Linked DNA regions of Anolis sagrei. The protein of the gene in region 1 interacts with the protein of each later gene in a biochemical or structural test. Links are inferred from orthologs where the notes say so. Each region holds a gene or a part of one and is shown in the gene's direction. Other genes may lie near its edges.

What was found.
Region 2: the proteins of SORBS1 (region 1) and FLOT1 form a complex in vitro, tested with the Homo sapiens proteins (2 studies listed by BioGRID). The link is inferred for Anolis sagrei from reciprocal best matches to the Homo sapiens genes SORBS1 and FLOT1.

The regions. Positions count from the first base shown.
Region 1 is NC_090023.1:141,372,233-141,380,385, forward strand, and holds the start of SORBS1 (sorbin and SH3 domain-containing protein 1), read left to right. Parts: upstream 1-4,895; 5' UTR 4,896-5,312; intron 5,313-8,153. UniProt on the Homo sapiens protein: Plays a role in tyrosine phosphorylation of CBL by linking CBL to the insulin receptor. Required for insulin-stimulated glucose transport. Involved in formation of actin stress fibers and focal adhesions.
Region 2 is NC_090022.1:21,579,461-21,587,342, forward strand, and holds the start of FLOT1 (flotillin-1), read left to right. Parts: upstream 1-4,737; 5' UTR 4,738-4,815; intron 4,816-7,882. UniProt on the Homo sapiens protein: May act as a scaffolding protein within caveolar membranes, functionally participating in formation of caveolae or caveolae-like vesicles.

The DNA.
Region 1 (8,153 bases):
GGTCTTGTAATCTTATTCAGCTGGCTGTTACCTAGCTCCCATGATGGACAACCACCATAAGACAGGTTTCCAGTCACAGAAACTCTGTATCTGCCTTCAGCCAGTGTTATAAAGCTCTCTTCAGATCTCTGTGTAAAGGTTTAACTTACACGTGCTGAAGCAGGGCTTATGTACACAATCAATTCTGGGCCTTTCACACAGCCATATAACCCAGAATATCAAGGCAGATAAACCACAATATCTGCTTTGAACTGGGTTATCTGAGTCCACACTGCCATATAATCCAGTTTATGTTTAGCTACAAAGCTTGTTGGGAGGTTTGCAGAGAATGAAGTAGAGTAAGAGCCCTTCCACACAGCCCTATATTCCAGAATATCAAGGCAGAAAATCTCACAATATCTCAGTGTGGATTCAGATAAACCAGTTCCAACGCAGATACTGTGGGATTTTCTGCCTTGATATTCTGGGATACAGGGCTGTGTGGAAGGACCCCAAATGATTGAAATTTGGGGTACATGGGGTTAAAGACAAATATTGTTTCCGACTGTAGTATTGCCTGATGATACACAGAAAATTCCTGGGAGTATTTCTGGTTTTCAGGTCTTAATCCAGTGGTTCTAAGACTGTGGGTCCCCAGATGTTTTGGCCTTCAACTCCCAGAAATCTTAACAGCTGGTAAACTGGCTGGGCTTTCTGGAAGTTGTAGGTCAAAACATCTGGGGACCTACATGTGAGAATTTATTTATTTATTTCATTTATTTCAATTACTTCTACCCCGCCCTTCTCATCCCAAGGGGGACTCAGGGCGGCTTACAGACGAAGGCATAATTCAATGCCTGAATCAATTAACAAACAATACAGAGAAGCAATTCAAACAGTTAACAAATTAAAAACATCAATACATAATGAAATAGCAAAACAATCTCATGCTCAGTGTTCAGAGTTCCGTATATCCATTCCATTCCATCTGTCCTTGTTTATCGTCAGATCTTTACTTTAGCTGCCAGAATGTCCAAAAGCTTGGTCCCATATCCAGGTCTTCAATTTTTTCCGGAACGCCAGAAGGGAAGTCGCTGATCTAATCTCCCCAGGGAGTGAGTTCCACAGGTGAGGGGCCACCACTGAGAAGGCCCTGCTTCTCGTCCCCGCCAACCTCCCTTGTGATAGTGGCGGGGTCGAGAGCAGGGCCTCCCCAGAAGATCTTAAACTTCGAGATGAGAACCACTGCCTTAATCGGATTTTGCCCCACTAAGCAATGTCAGTGGATACTACAAGGTTTGTAGGATACTCCAAAGTATCCAGTTGCATAATAGCAGTCTAGACAGCTGAATCAAATCTGTTTCAGTCAAATCCCTTGTCCAGACACTGCCATCTTCACAAGGGAAGGGGATGGCTTGTCCTCAAGCTGCTAGTTTGGCTACAGAGCCCTATACTAGTGCCTGGCTGTTGCTTATCCAGTCTGCTGCAATCAGAAAGGATCACCTGTGCTATCAGCAAGAAGCAGGGAGATAATCTCTAGGAGAGACAACTGGTGTTTTGCATGTGGGCTTTGAGAGGAAAGCCCATAGTTCTGATTTGCTAAAAATGGATGGTAAGGGAGCTTATGCAGTCATCTGCAACAGCTGTGGTATATTAAAATAAGAGAATCATAGGCTGGAAGAGATCATAGAGGTATCAGCCCAACCTCCTGCCATGAAGGAACACAGGTGTCCTGAGCCCCTCTGACAGTGAGGACAAGGGTTTGTAAAAAGGACAGTACTGGAATTGGAGACCAGGAGCTCCTACCAGTCTTCCCAGCCTACCTTAGTTATTGCAGGAGGAGCAAGCAGAGGACAGTACATCAGGGCAGGCTGATGAGGGGTTAAGAGTTCTGTCCCTTTTAACAATTCAGATGTGAGCATGCTGCTAACAGTAGATCTGTGTGATTAGCAGAGGAATAGGGAAATAGGCTCTTCCCAAGCAAAAACTGAGAACATAGAATAAAATGCTTTCAAGTCTGTAGTCCTGTTTCTGGACTCTTTGGATTTGTTGACTTTGGAACTGTACCTTGGTCTCTTCATTTGGATTTTTGCTTCCAAGCTTGGACTTCGCTATTTGTGACTTGTTGGCTTTATTGATCCTGGAATTTGAATTCTTGTTGCTGCCTTGACTCTTGAAATCTTTTGGCGTGGCCATGTTGATTAGGATTTGGAACTCTGAACTTGTATCACCAACAAAGATTAGTGTGCAGCTATAAAATAAAGCCCCAATCACTCTACCTCTGGGCTGTTCATATGTTATTAGTTTGAATATTATTTATTTACCTCATAGTATTCCTAGTACATACTGCAAAGATGGAGACAGTTAAAGTAGGGTGAAATAAAGAATTTGTACTCAGAATTTATTGTAGGCTATCATTCATGGTTGAGTATGACTGTTTTCCAAGGGCAGAATCTTGTTGGTGGGTCCTATTCAGAATGGTTTGCCACAGTGAGGACATCCATTTCCAGATGGAATGCTGTCCCAACAAGAATTTGCTTGACGTTCTTTCCTCTTGGCATGTTTCTCCCTTTTACCCTCTATCTGAGCCTCTTCAAAATCCATAGTACTCTTGCTAACAGCTGACCTCCAGTTACAATGCTCAGATTTCCAGCTCTTTGTTTATTCCGCATTTTTAAAGGTTAGTTTTAAATCTTTTTCGCTTTCCACCAACATTCTGTTTTCTGTTCTTCAGCTGAGAGTATAGTAACTGTTTTGGGAGATGATGATTGGGCATTTGGATAATTTGGCCAGTCCAGCAAAGTTGACGATGAAGGATCACTGCTTCAATGCTGGTGGTCTTTACTTCTTCCAGAATGCTGGCAAACTGTGCCTATCTTCCCAAGAGATTTGCAGGATTTTTTTGGAGGCAACGCTGATGGAATTGTTCCAGAAGGGTAGAGTGATGTTAGTAGACAGTCCACATTTCACAGGCATCACAACCACTATAATCCTCGTCATCGTCATCATCATTGGCTATCACTTTCAGCCGACTCTGATTCTCTTCCAAGTGTAGAATCCTAGTGGTGGGTCTGCAAATGACTGTACAGACCTATTCTGGATCTGCTGGGTTTTTCTAAGTGAGGACATACATTTCACAGTTGTACAACAGAGTTGCAGGGACAATATCTTTATAAACAAACATCTTGGTGTCCCTACGAACACCCTAATCCTTGAACACTTCATTTGAAAAGATACTGCACTCACAGAGCTCAGACCGTGTTGTATTTCAGCGTAGGTATCAACTTTTCTGGAAAGGTAGCTGTCTATGGGTTGTGACCTGAAATGGGGGTCCCTGTCAGGGTCACAAAAAATTGGACTGCGTAGTGTTTACAGTGCACAAAAATAAAGACTTTGTCTACAGAATTTATCATAGGCTATCACTCCTGGCTGAGTGTGACTGTTTTCCAAGGGCAAAGTCTTGGTGGTTGGTCCTATTCTGGATCTGCATGGTCTGTCACAATGAGGGCATCGATTTCCAGATAGAAGGCTGTCTCAACAAGGGTTTGCTTGACATTCCTTCCTCTTGGCATGTTTCTCCCTTTTGTCCTCTATTTGAGCCTCTTTAAAATCCATAGAACTATTGGTAATAGCTGACTTCCAGTTGACATGCTCAGGTTCACAGTTCTTTGTGTTTATTCCAGTGGTTCTCAACCTGTCGGTCCCCAGATGTTTTGGCCTTTAACTCCCAGAAATCCTAACAGCTAGTAAACTGGCAGTGATTTCTGGGAGTTGCAGGCCAAAACACCTGGGAACCCACAGGTTGAGGACCACTACTCTATTCCATATTTTCTAAGGTTACAATGAGAACATGGATTTCCAGAAGGGAGGCTGGATCTTTCAGTCTCTTTTGTTGTTCACCAGCATGCAGTTTTCCATTTAATGGATGACCATCCCAACTATTCCTGCCTCTTCAAAATCCGTAGCACTGTTGGTAAGGGCGCACCTCCAGTTATGGAGCTCCTAGTGGCGCGATGGGTTAAACCCTTGTGCTGGCAGGACTGGTTGACTGACAGGTTGGCGGTTCGAATCTGGGAAGCAGGGTGAGCTCCCTCTGTCAGCTCCAGCTCCCCATGAGGGGACATAAGAGAAGCTTCATACAGGATTTTTTTGTTTTTTGTTGTGTCAGGAGAGACTTGAGAAACCGCAAGTCGTTTATGGTGTGAGAGAATTGGCTGTCTGCAAGGACGTTGCCCAGGGAACGCCCGAATGATTTGATGTTTTATCATCCTTGTGAGAGGCTTCTCTCATGTCCCCGCATGAGGAGCTGGAGCTGGTAGAGGGAGGTCATCGGCCTCTTCCAGGATTCGAACCTGCGACCTGTCAGTCTTCAGTCCTGCCGGCACAGGGGTTTAGCCCACTGTGCCACCGGGGGCTCCTTCATACAGGATGGTAACACATCAATCATCTGGGCATCCCCTGAGCAATGTTCTTGCAGACAGCCAATTCTCTCACACCAGAAGCAACTTGCAGTTTCTCAAGTTGCTTCTGACATGGAAAAAATAAATCCCAAGACTCCAGTTACAATGTTCCCAATATGGTTATTCCATAATTTTTTAAAATGAAGGCCACACAAAAAAGCAAAATCCGCCTCTTTAGCAAGCCTTGCAAATGTTTGATTAGTATACTATACCTGGCATCACGGGTGGAGGATGTTTAAGGAGCCCTGCAGCAGCCTCATCACACTAGACTAGAGGACGAATCCACTTTAAATCCGGTTGCTGCCTCCTGCAGAATTCTGGGGTTTGTAGTTTAGGGAGGAGCCTTTAACAGCCCCAGTGGGGCTGTTAAAGGCTCCTCCCTAAACTACAAACCCCAGAATTCTGCAGGAGGCAGAAATCGGATTTAAAGTGGATTCGTCCTCTAGTGTGACGAGGTAGCTGGTGGCATCAAAGGAAAGAAGGAGGCACAGACCTGGATCTCTTCCTCTCGTTCTCTCCTCCTTCAGCCGGTGGCCAGCGTGGGAAGCCTCTGGAAGGAAGCTCAGGGAGGGAGAAGCCAAACGGGAGGCAGGCAGGCAGGCTCGGTTTCCCTTCTCCTCCTCCTCCTCTTCCTCCATTTCTTCTTCCTCCTCCTCCTCCTCCTCTCCCGCGCGAGGCATGTTAATGAGGGGGAGGCGCCGCCGCCGCCCATTGGCCCTCCAACTGGCGTCGCTCTGAAGTCAGTCACGCAGAGAGGGCTTTTCTTGTCGCCGGAGGCAAAACACAGCGGGGAAACATTGATACGAGGCGGTTTATTGTCCAGCGTGGAAGCCGGAGAGAGGGCCGCCGCCGCTGCTGCTGCTAACGCCTCAGGTAAGAGAGCGGGGCCTTTCGCTTGGGAACCACCAGGCCTCGTCGAGGGTGGAATCCGTTTATGAGGGGATGGGGGGAGGGAGGGAAAGGGAGGGGGGCCGCGCGCGCTCCCGTCTCGCGCTCTCCCCTCCTCGCGCTCCCGTCTCGCGCTCCTCTCTGGCGCGCGCGCTCTGCCCTGGCTCTCTCGGAAGGCCGGTGGTCCGCAGCCTCGCTGCCATCACAACAAATGCCATTTCGCACCTCTGCGTTTGGTTTCTCGCCAAGCAACCGTAATCCTTGAGATATATAGACTATTGCAGTTGGCCTCTGAGGTGCTCATTCGCTTGTTGGTGACAGGAGTCCTCTTGACTGCACACACAGCAGGAATCAGCTGATGATGGGAGTCCATTTTGGGGCCTTTGGTGGCTCGCGACCGGGAAAATAGGATGCAGAGGGTCGGGGAGAAGCGCCACGGACTGTAGTTGATGGAGAGGTTGAAAGCCTGAGCGGATAAAGCGTGTCTCTAGATCTGGAAAGGGGGGGCAGCATCTCCTCCTGCCAGGTCCCAGGGACAGTTCTTGCCGCTGTCCCTCCTCGCCTGCAGAGAATGACATTTCCAGGGCCCCATCCGCTCTGATAAGCCTTCTTGTGAGTGGAAGGAAGGAGCGCCAAAGTGGCCTAGTGCTTCAGCCAGGCAATTTTTCAGCAGGTCCAGGAGTCAGCAGAATAATGGACCACTTTGGGCCCTTCCACACAGCCCTATATCCCAGGATATCGAGGCAGAAAATCCCACAATATGTGCTTTGAACCGGGCGCCCTTCTACACAGCCCAATATCCCAGAATACCAAGGCAGAAAATCCCACATTGTTTGAGTGTGGATTCAGATAACCTAGGGCCCTACCGCACAGCACTATATCCCAGGATATCAAGGCAGAAAATCCCACAATATGTGCTTTGAACCAGGGGCCCTTCCACACATCCCAATATCCCAGAATACCAAGGCAGAAAATCCCACATTATTTGAGTGTGGATGCAAATGTGAGTAGATCAATAGGTACTGCACCGGCAGGAAGGTAACGGCTCCCCATGCAGTCATGACCTTGGAGGTGTCTATGGACAACGCTGGCTCTTCGGCTTAGAAATTGCAATGAGCACCACACCCCAGAGTCAGACATGATTGGACTTACTGTCAGGGGACAATCTTTACTTTTACCTATTCTAGAATACAGGCTGTGTGGAAGGGCCCTTTGGGGGAGATTGAATGATATCTCACTAGGCAAGACACTGCCTTTGTAAAACTATGTATGGCTCCTTTGAGCCCCTTCCTCACAGCTGAATAAAATCCCACATTTTCTGCTTTGAGCTGGAATATATGACAGTGTGAACTCAGATAATCCAGTTCAAATCAGATATTGTGGAATTATCTTTTGGCTGTGTGGAAGGACCCACAATATGGACTCAGATATTCCAGGGGCCCTTCCACACATCCCTATATCCCAGAATATCAAGGCAGAAATTCCCACAATATCTGCTCTGAACTGGATTATTTGAGTCCACACTCAGATATTGTGGGATTTCTGCCTTGATCTTCTGGCTATGTGGAAGGACCTGCAATGTGGAAGCAGGTATTCCAGGGGCCCTCCCACACATCCCTATAACCCAGAATATCAAGGCAGAAAATCCCACAATCTCTGCTTTGAATTGGGTTTGCTGAGTCCATACTCAGACAATGTGGAATTTTCTGCCTTGATATTCTGGGATATAGGGATGTGTGGAAGGGCCCCAGGTGTTCATCAATCAAAGGTCACTCGGGACCTTTCCACACAGCCATATTACCCAGAATATCAAGGCAGATAATCCACAATATCCATTTTGAACTGGGTCATCTGAGTCCACACTGCCATATAATCCAGTTCAATATGGATTTTATACAGCTGTGTGAAAGGGGCCTAGGCATGAGACCGCCTTTGTAAAACTGTGTCTACCTCCCTATGTGTTGACTGATCAAAGGTCACGGGAACATTCCCAGGGATTGCTTTATCTGGGGTTTATTAATTTGCACACAAAATGTAAATAGGGCCATTTTTCTAGCAGGATTTTCTCCTGATGTTTCACCCACATCTGTGGCTGGCATCCTTGAGTGATTCTGACCATAAAAGCCTTTGACAAAATAAAATATAAACACTTGACTGTTGTTTTTTTTTACTTTGACTTTATTATATACACAATCCAAAAAAAACGTACTCCTCTACCCCCTCCCCCTCCAGCCGGAAGTGTTTGTGGGCCTCTCCATGTCCTCCAGTGTCATTCTGTGGTGTGCTTCTTGCCCAAGTATAGTCACAATACAGGATTCACTGTAACCCATGGTTTCTGGTATCTTGGAATGTATCGCCTGCCAATATGGGTCCGGGGGGGGGGGGGGTTGTGCTGTGTATTTAATCTTGAATGAGAGAAAACAAAATAGCGAGCTTTCATGAATTCAGTCAAGGTTAGCTCCTGCTCAGCAGAAAATAAAACCATTTCTTGTCTGTGTGGCACTGGAACTTGCTGTTGTGCTTCTCTACTCAAGATGGTTTCCGTCTTATTAAATGAAGCAAAGTTGCTGTAGGTCTATTGTACATATTCCTTTCTCAGGAAACCTTATGTGTGGTTTTGGAAATGTTAAGGGCTTGACCAAATCGTTTATTTGACAAAGATGGTTTTGTCTTCTTTCATGTTGTGGGTGATGTATACCTTTGGATTCTAGGCTATTCATTTACATTTCTGCTTCCTGCAGTTTGTTCTGTTCATAGAGTTTATTCTGCTCATTCCTTGTCTCTTTTTTTCCACATAATAATGTGATACAGACTTAAGGGCTCTTT
Region 2 (7,882 bases), on another chromosome or scaffold:
TTCCTGTCTCCTCATGATGTGGCCAAAGTACTTCAACTTTGTCTCTAGTATCTTTCCCTCCAGTGAGCAGTCGGGCTTTATTTCCTGGAGGATGGACTGGTTGGATCTTCTCGCAGTCCAAGGCACTCTCAGCACTTTCCTCCAGCACCACAGCTCAAAAGCATCGATCTTCCTTCGCTCAGCCTTCCCTAAGGTCCAGCTCTCACATCCGTAGGTTACTACAGGGAATACCATGGCTTTGACTAGGTGGATCTTTGTTGCCAGTCTGATGTCTCTACTCTTCACTATTTTATCGAGACTGGACATTGCTCTCCTCCCAAGAAGTAAGCGTCTTCTGATTTCCTGGCTACAGTCTGCATCTGCAGTAATCTTTGCACCTAGAAATACAAAGTCTGTCACGGCCTCCACGGTTTCTCCCTCTATTTTCCAGTTGTCAATCATTCTTGTTGCCATAATCTTGGTTTTTTTGACGTTTAGCTGCAACCCGGCTTTTGCGCTTTCTTCTTTCACCTTGATTAGAAGGCTCCTCAGCTCCTCCTCGCTTTCGGCCATCAGAGTGGTGTCATCTGCATATCTGAGGTTGTTAATGTTTCTTCCAGCAATTTTCACCCCAGCTTTGCATTCATCCAGCCCCGCACATCGCATGATGTGTTCTGCGTACAAGTTAAAAAGGTTGGGTGAGAGGATGCAGCCTTGCCGTACGCCTTTTCCAATCTTGAACCAGTCTGTTGTTCCGTGGTCAGTTCTGACTGTTGCTACTTGGTCCTTGTACAGATTCCTCAGGAGAGAGACAAGGTGGCTTGGGATGCCCATCCCACCAAGAACTTGCCACAATTTATTATGATCCACACAGTCAAAGGCTTTAGAATAGTCAATGAAGCAGAAGTAGATGTTTTTCTGAAACTCCCTGCCTTTCTCCATTATCCAGCGGATATTGGCAATCTGGTCTCTGGTTCCTCTGCCTTTTCTAAACCCAGCTTGAACATCTGGCAACTCTCGCTCCATCACTAAAAAAAATTGTAAAGCAGGAGGCAAGGCTGTGTTTGTGGCCCCAAAAGCCATCCAGGGATTTTTAAAAAATGGTTTGAAAAAGTTTGGGAAAACTGCATTTTAACAGCCTTTTTAAAAACTAGAAGTTACTTCTGTTCATTTTCTGAGCCTAAAATGTCCCCTACAAATGGCAAAAACATTCTCCGCTTCTAGAGGGCATCAGAGAGCTTGGGACAAGAAATTGGATTTTTCTCTCTATTTTGCTGTGGGATGTATGCAGCCCCACAAACAAAAGTTGCCCAAAGGGCTAATATAGCCCTCTAACTTTCTACAATTTCCTACCCTGTAATGGAGAGTACAGTGTTATTTGTAAAGCATTTCAATATTATATAATAGAACTAAGACCCAACTCTTTTGGTCAGCATACCCAGTAAATGTTATTGTTATGCATGATTTTGATGTGATGTACTCTTAGGACTATGTCTTTTTAATATATGCTTTTCAATGGTCTTCTGTTTCTACATATTTCTTTTAACTATGATTTACCCTGCCTCAAGCCTTGAAGAGAGGTGGGTAACATTATTATTATTATTATTATTATTATTATTATTATTATTTTGCTGACACAAAAGCACAGTATATCACAGCAAACGAGATCTATATGCTGGATTTCGTATCACAAAATCACAAGTCGAACACTTCCCAAGCGTCTAGGACTGTGTGATGTATTTTCGGATGATGCGCACAGATCCAAGTAAGGTGGCCTTTTGCAGTTGACAGATTGTGATTTTGTCAATATTTATTGTTTCCAAATGCTGGCTGAGATCTTTTGGCACGACACTCAGTGTGCCGATGACCACTGGGACCACCCGTACTGGTTTATGCCAGAGTCTTTGCAGTTCGATTTTGAGGTCCTGATAATGGATGAGTTTTTCCTGTTGTCTTTCTTCAATGCGACTCTCACCTGGTATGGTGATATCAATAAATCTTTTTTTTTTTCTTTTCCACTATCCTGATGTCTAGTGTATTGTGTTCCAAAACTTTGTCAGTCTGGATTCGAAAGTCCCACTGTAATTTTGCATGTTCATTTTCCACTACCTTTGCAGGTTTATGATCCCACCAATTCTTTACTGCTGGCAGGTGGTACTTGTGACATAAGTTCCAGTTATTATTATTATTATTAATAATAATAATAATAATAATAATAATAACTGGAACGTATGTCACAAGTTATTAGGAGTGGCGCAGTGGGTTAAACCCCTGTGCTGGCAGGACTGACAGGTCGCAGGTTTGAATCCAGGGAGAGGCGGATGAGCTCCCTCTATCAGCTCCAGCCAGGCCCGTAGCCAGGATTTCGTTTCGAGGGGGGCTAAAAAAATTTCGGGAGGGGGTTGGGGGGGGCTGAGTTTCGGGGGGGGCTGAGTCTGAGTGAAAGAGGGTCTAGCCTAGCAAACCTTTTGTATCATTACCCCAATACCCCCATGCATATGGGATATATTGAGTATGGTGATCAGATCATGATATGAATAAACATGACAGTTTAAATAATGCACCAGTAAGGCCTTTTCGTGAACCACCATGAGAATGCCTGGCTCCAGCTCCTTATGTGGGGACATGAAAGAAGCCTCCCACAAGGATGCTAAAAACATCAATTCATCTGGGCATCCCCTGGGCAACATCCTTGCAGACGGCCAATTCTCTCACACCAGAAGCGACTTGCAATTTCTCAAGTCTCTCCTGACATGACAAAAAAAACCAGACCCATATGTAATTTTTGAGGTTTTTATCACACTGAGAGTAAAAGGGGCTACAAAGCTCTGCTTGGTAAGGGTCACTCGCGGAAGCCAGGCACAGTTGGTACCGGGTGCAGGGGCTCCACGCCAACAGAGGCAAAGGCAGACTGCCCAGATTAGAAGTTAAGGATTTCCCTATTAGCTAAAATACAGTTTATGAAGATAGTGCCTGTTCCTGTGGACAAGATTGATAGAGAGCCAATAGACTGTTAAGAAAGCATTAAAGTACTTGTTTGTTTTCATGAATAAAGAAATTGTTGAACCTTTAAGCAATCTAAAGACTCTGTTTAAGGAAATCCAAAGGCCTTTAATCTGAGGCAGCCCCGGCGTCCCGTTGGGCACACAGAATTTATGTCCTGTCTACAGTCTTATGCACAGGCCCAGCGTGCGACAGCATATATACAGTTGTTGTTGTGTTCATTCGTTCAGTCGTCTCCGACTCTTCGTGACCTCATGGACCAGCCCATGCCAGAGCTCCCTGTCGGCCGTCACCACCCCCAGTTCCTTCAAGGTCAAGCCAGTCACTTCAAGGATGCCATCCATCCACCTTGCCCTTGGTTGGCCCCTCTTCCTTTTTCCTTCCACTTTCCCCAGCATAATTGTCTTCTCTAGGCTTTGCTGTCTCCTCATGATGTGGCCAAAGTACTTCATCTTGGCCTCTAGTATCCTTCCCTCCAGTGAGCAGCCGGGCTTTATTTCCTGGAGGATGGACTGGCTGGATCTTCTCGCAGTCCAAGGCACTCTCAGAACTTTCCTCCAACACCACAGCTCAAAAGCATCGATCTTCCTTCGCTCAGCCTTCCCCAAGGTCCAGCTCTCACATCCGTAGGTTACTACAGGGAATACCATGGCTTTGACTAGGCGGATCTTTGTTGCCAGTCTGATGTCTCTACTCTTTACTATTTTATCGAGATTGGACATTGCTCTCCTCCCAAGAAGTAAGCGTCTTCTGATTTCCTGGCCACAGTCTGCATCTGCAGTAATCTTTGCACCTAGAAATACAAAGTCTGTCACGGCCTCCACATTTTCTCCCTCTATTTTCCAGTTGTCAATCATTCTTGTTGCCATAATCTTGGTTTTTTTGACGTTTAGCTGCAACCCGGCTTTTGCGCTTTCTTCTTTCACCTTGATTAGAAGGCTCCTCAGCTCCTCCCCGCTTTCGGCCATCAGAGTGGTGTCATCTGCATATCTGAGGTTGTTGATGTTTCTTCCAGCAATTTTCACCCCAGCTTTGCATTCATCCAGCCCCGCACATCGCATGATGTGTTCTGCATACAAGTTAAAAAGGTTGGGTGAGAGGATGCAGCCTTGCCGTACGCCTTTCCCAATCTTGAACCAGTCTGTTGTTCCGTGGTCAGTTCTGACTGTTGCTACTTGGTCCTTGTACAGATTCCTCAGGAGAGAGACAAGGTGGCTTGGAATGCCCATCCCACCAAGAACTTGCCACAATTTATTATGATCCACACAGTCAAGGGCTTTAGAATAGTCAATGAAGCAGAAATAGATGTTTTTCTGAAACTCCCTGCCTTTCTCCATTATCCAGCGGATATTGGCAATCTGGTCTCTCGTTCCTCTGCCTTTTCTAAACCCAGCTTGAACATCTGGCAACTCTTGCTCCATGTATTGCTGGAGTCTTCCTTGCAGGATCTTGAGCATTACCTTACTGGCATGAGAAATAAGGGCCACTGTACGGAAGTTGGAGCAGTCTTTCGCATTTCCATATACAGTATATGTCTGTAACTAAAGGACTGCCTGTATACAGCTTTGCCTTGGGGGGGGGGGGAATCCCCTTGGAGGGTGCAATATGAGGAAGCGGCCAGCAGGTGGCGCGGCGCCTGGGCTTGCATTGACTCTCATAGCTGAGTATTGGGAACATGGGAAGGGGAAGGTAACGGGGCCGAGGGCTGATGGGAAAGCCTTGGTGTCAGAGACGGGAAGGGAGTGTCTTCTCAGAGCAGGAAGAAACACACCGAAGAGGAGGAGGAAGAGGAGGAGGAGGGCCATCGAGGGATCTTACGGCTTCGGGTACAGAGTAAGTGGGGAGGGGGTGAGTGGGAAATATAATATAAATAATGGGGGCCAATGAGCAAGGGCTTTGCCTGTTTCCAAATTGCACAGTGTCTGCTTGCATTGCAAACCTATTGCTTCCTCCTCTTTGCAACCTTCTGGAGCTGCCTCTAAGGAGAACAGGGCTAGTGCTTTGGCACTGATTTATCCTGGGCTGCATCTAGGATAGAAGCAATACCCTGGCTCAATACTATGGGATCCTGGGATGTGTAGTTTTCACAAGGTCTTGAGCCTTCCCTGCATCAGCAAACTACAAATCCCAGGGGTTCCAAGAGCAATGAGTCATGGCAATTGGAAGTGATGCCAAGCAGTGTAGAGATGCACCTTCAGGCCCCTTCTACACTACATTATCAAAGCAGATAATCCACATTATCTGCTTTGAACTGGATTATGTGAGTCCACACTGCCATAAAATCCAGTTCAAATCAGATAATCTGGATTTTATACTGCAGTGTAGAAGGGGAATCCGAGTTTCCCTCCATGTTCTATATTTGTGCATCCACACTATGCATTTAATCCAGTTTGGGACCCTGGGATCTGTAGTTTTCCCTTTTGGGCAGAGGTTAAATACCTTTAAAACTACACTTCCCAGGATAATATAGTGCCCTGTTCAGTTAAGATTGGTGTCAAACTGTATTAATTCTACAGTGTAGATGCACCCTATACTGTAAAATCTGTAGTTTGTAGTTTGGTGAGGCACAAGCCCTCTTTGGCTGAGAAGGTTAAAGAACTACATTTCCCATGATAATATTGAGCCCTGTTCAGTTAAGATTGGTGTCAAACTGTATTAATTCTACAGTGTAGATGCACCCTGTGCTATGAAATCTTAGGATCTGTAGTTTGGTGAGGCACAAACCCTCTTTGGCTGAGAAGGTTAAAGACCTTTGAAAACTACACTTCCCAGGATAATATTGAGCCCTGGCAGTTAAGATTGGTGTCAAACTGTATTAATTCTAGTGTAGATGCACCCTATACTGTGAAATCTTGGGATCTGTAGTTTGGTGAGGCACAAGCCCTCTGTAACAGAAAAGGTTAAAGACCTTTGAAAACTACACTTCCCAGGATAACATGGAATCATGGCACATACAATCGGCATCAAACTATGCTAATTCGACAGTTCATATGCACCCTGTACTATGAAATCTTAGGATCTGTAGTGTGGTGAGGCGCAAGGCCTTTCTGGCAGAGATGGTTAAAGACCTTTGAAAACTACACTTCCCAGGATAATACTAAGCCATGGCAGTTAAGATTGGTGTCAAACTATGTTAATTTGACAGTGCAGATGCACACTGTACTATGAAATCTTGGGATTTGTAGTTTGGCAAGTTTCTTGTATCTTACTTAAGACCAGAAATTGATCTACACTAAGCAAAGAATACAGTTTGCACCACTTTAATGCTATGGGATCCTGGGATTTGTAGTTTGGTGAGGCACCAGCACTCTTTGGCAGAGGAGGCTCAAGACCTTGTAGAACTACAACTCCTATTATTCCATAGCATTGAGCCATGGCAGTCAAAGCAGTATCATACTGAATTCATTCTCCATTGCAGGGAGTGCTCATTTCATAGAATTGAAATGAGATAAGAGATAGGAGGGGTCCCCAAAGGCCATCCAGTCCAACCCGATTCTGCCATGCAGGAGAACACAATCAAAGCACTCCCGAAAGATGGCTATCCTGCCTTTGTTTAAAATCCTCCAGAGAAGGGGACTCCACCACATTTGAAAACTAGCTGGGGAGGTAAATAATAGGTTGTGCAGGATTTCAATGTGCCGAGCATTGATCCACAAGTAAGGTTACTAAATGCCCCTTAGTACGTATATAAATGATGCCTCTTATTAGATAGCCATAAAAGTTGTCTTTTTTAAAAGACTGAAAAGCGTACTTTCGTATTGTCGAAGGCTTTAATGGCGGAAATCACAGGGTTGTTGTAAGTTTTTCAGGCTACATTTCGGTAGCATTCTCTCCTGATGTTGCTCCTGCATCTGTGGCAGGCATCTCACAACCTCTGAGGATGCCTGCCATAGATGCAGGTGAAACGTCAGGAGAGAATGCTTCTGGGACATAGCCATACAGCCCAAAAAACTTACAACTAAAGTGTTCTTTCATTGGGTGCTCACTGAAGAGGTAAACAATGAGTTGTAGGGGGTTTCTGTGCCCTATAGGGAAACACAAGTGCCAAGCTCTGATCCATAAGTTCCTTCATATATAAGAGATTGGCCAGAAAGCTTGTCCTTTTATAGGACTTGCAAGTAAAAACACGCCTTTGGGTGGGAACTAGCTGGAGAGATAAACAACAGGAATTTCTACGCCCCGAAGGGAAACATGCATGTGCTGAGCATTCTCCATTAGCAGGACTGCCAGATGTCTCTTGGTACATATAAACAAATGCCCAGGAAGGTTTCCTTTTATTAGTAGGACTGACAGTTGTAATGCACTGAGTGTGATGCTGAGTATTGAGCCACAAGTAGAGTTACTCGATGTCCTTTATTATAAAAGATCACCCTTATTTGGGGTTGGAAAAGCTTATCCCTTTATAGGACTGACAATTGTAACATGCATTTAAGTGGGGAGGTAAATAATGTGGATTGCAAAGAATATGTTACACGGGCCAAGCATTGATTGACAAGTAGGGTTGCTAGAGGTCCCATAGTATAAGATATGTAACTTATTTGACACTAGCCATCCCCTGTCACGCGTTACTGTGGCCCAGTCTGTGTATATGAGTTTTGTGTGTGTATATTTGTGTATATGTGTATATGTGTGTTTGCGTGTGTGTGTGTCTATATAAATAAAAATGTAATGCTCGTTTGTGGGATTAGCATAACTCAAAAATTTGGACACAATACACCTATCATGCTAACGAGTGATCATCACTCATAAAAACATTGAAAAACACAGCGAAAGATACTTAAAAAACCAACAAACAAAAATACATTTAAACACATGCGCAAAACCGTGTGTGTGTGTGTGTGGTTTTGCGCATGTGTTGTAATGTAATTTTTGTTTGTTGGCTTTTTTAAGTCTCTTTCAC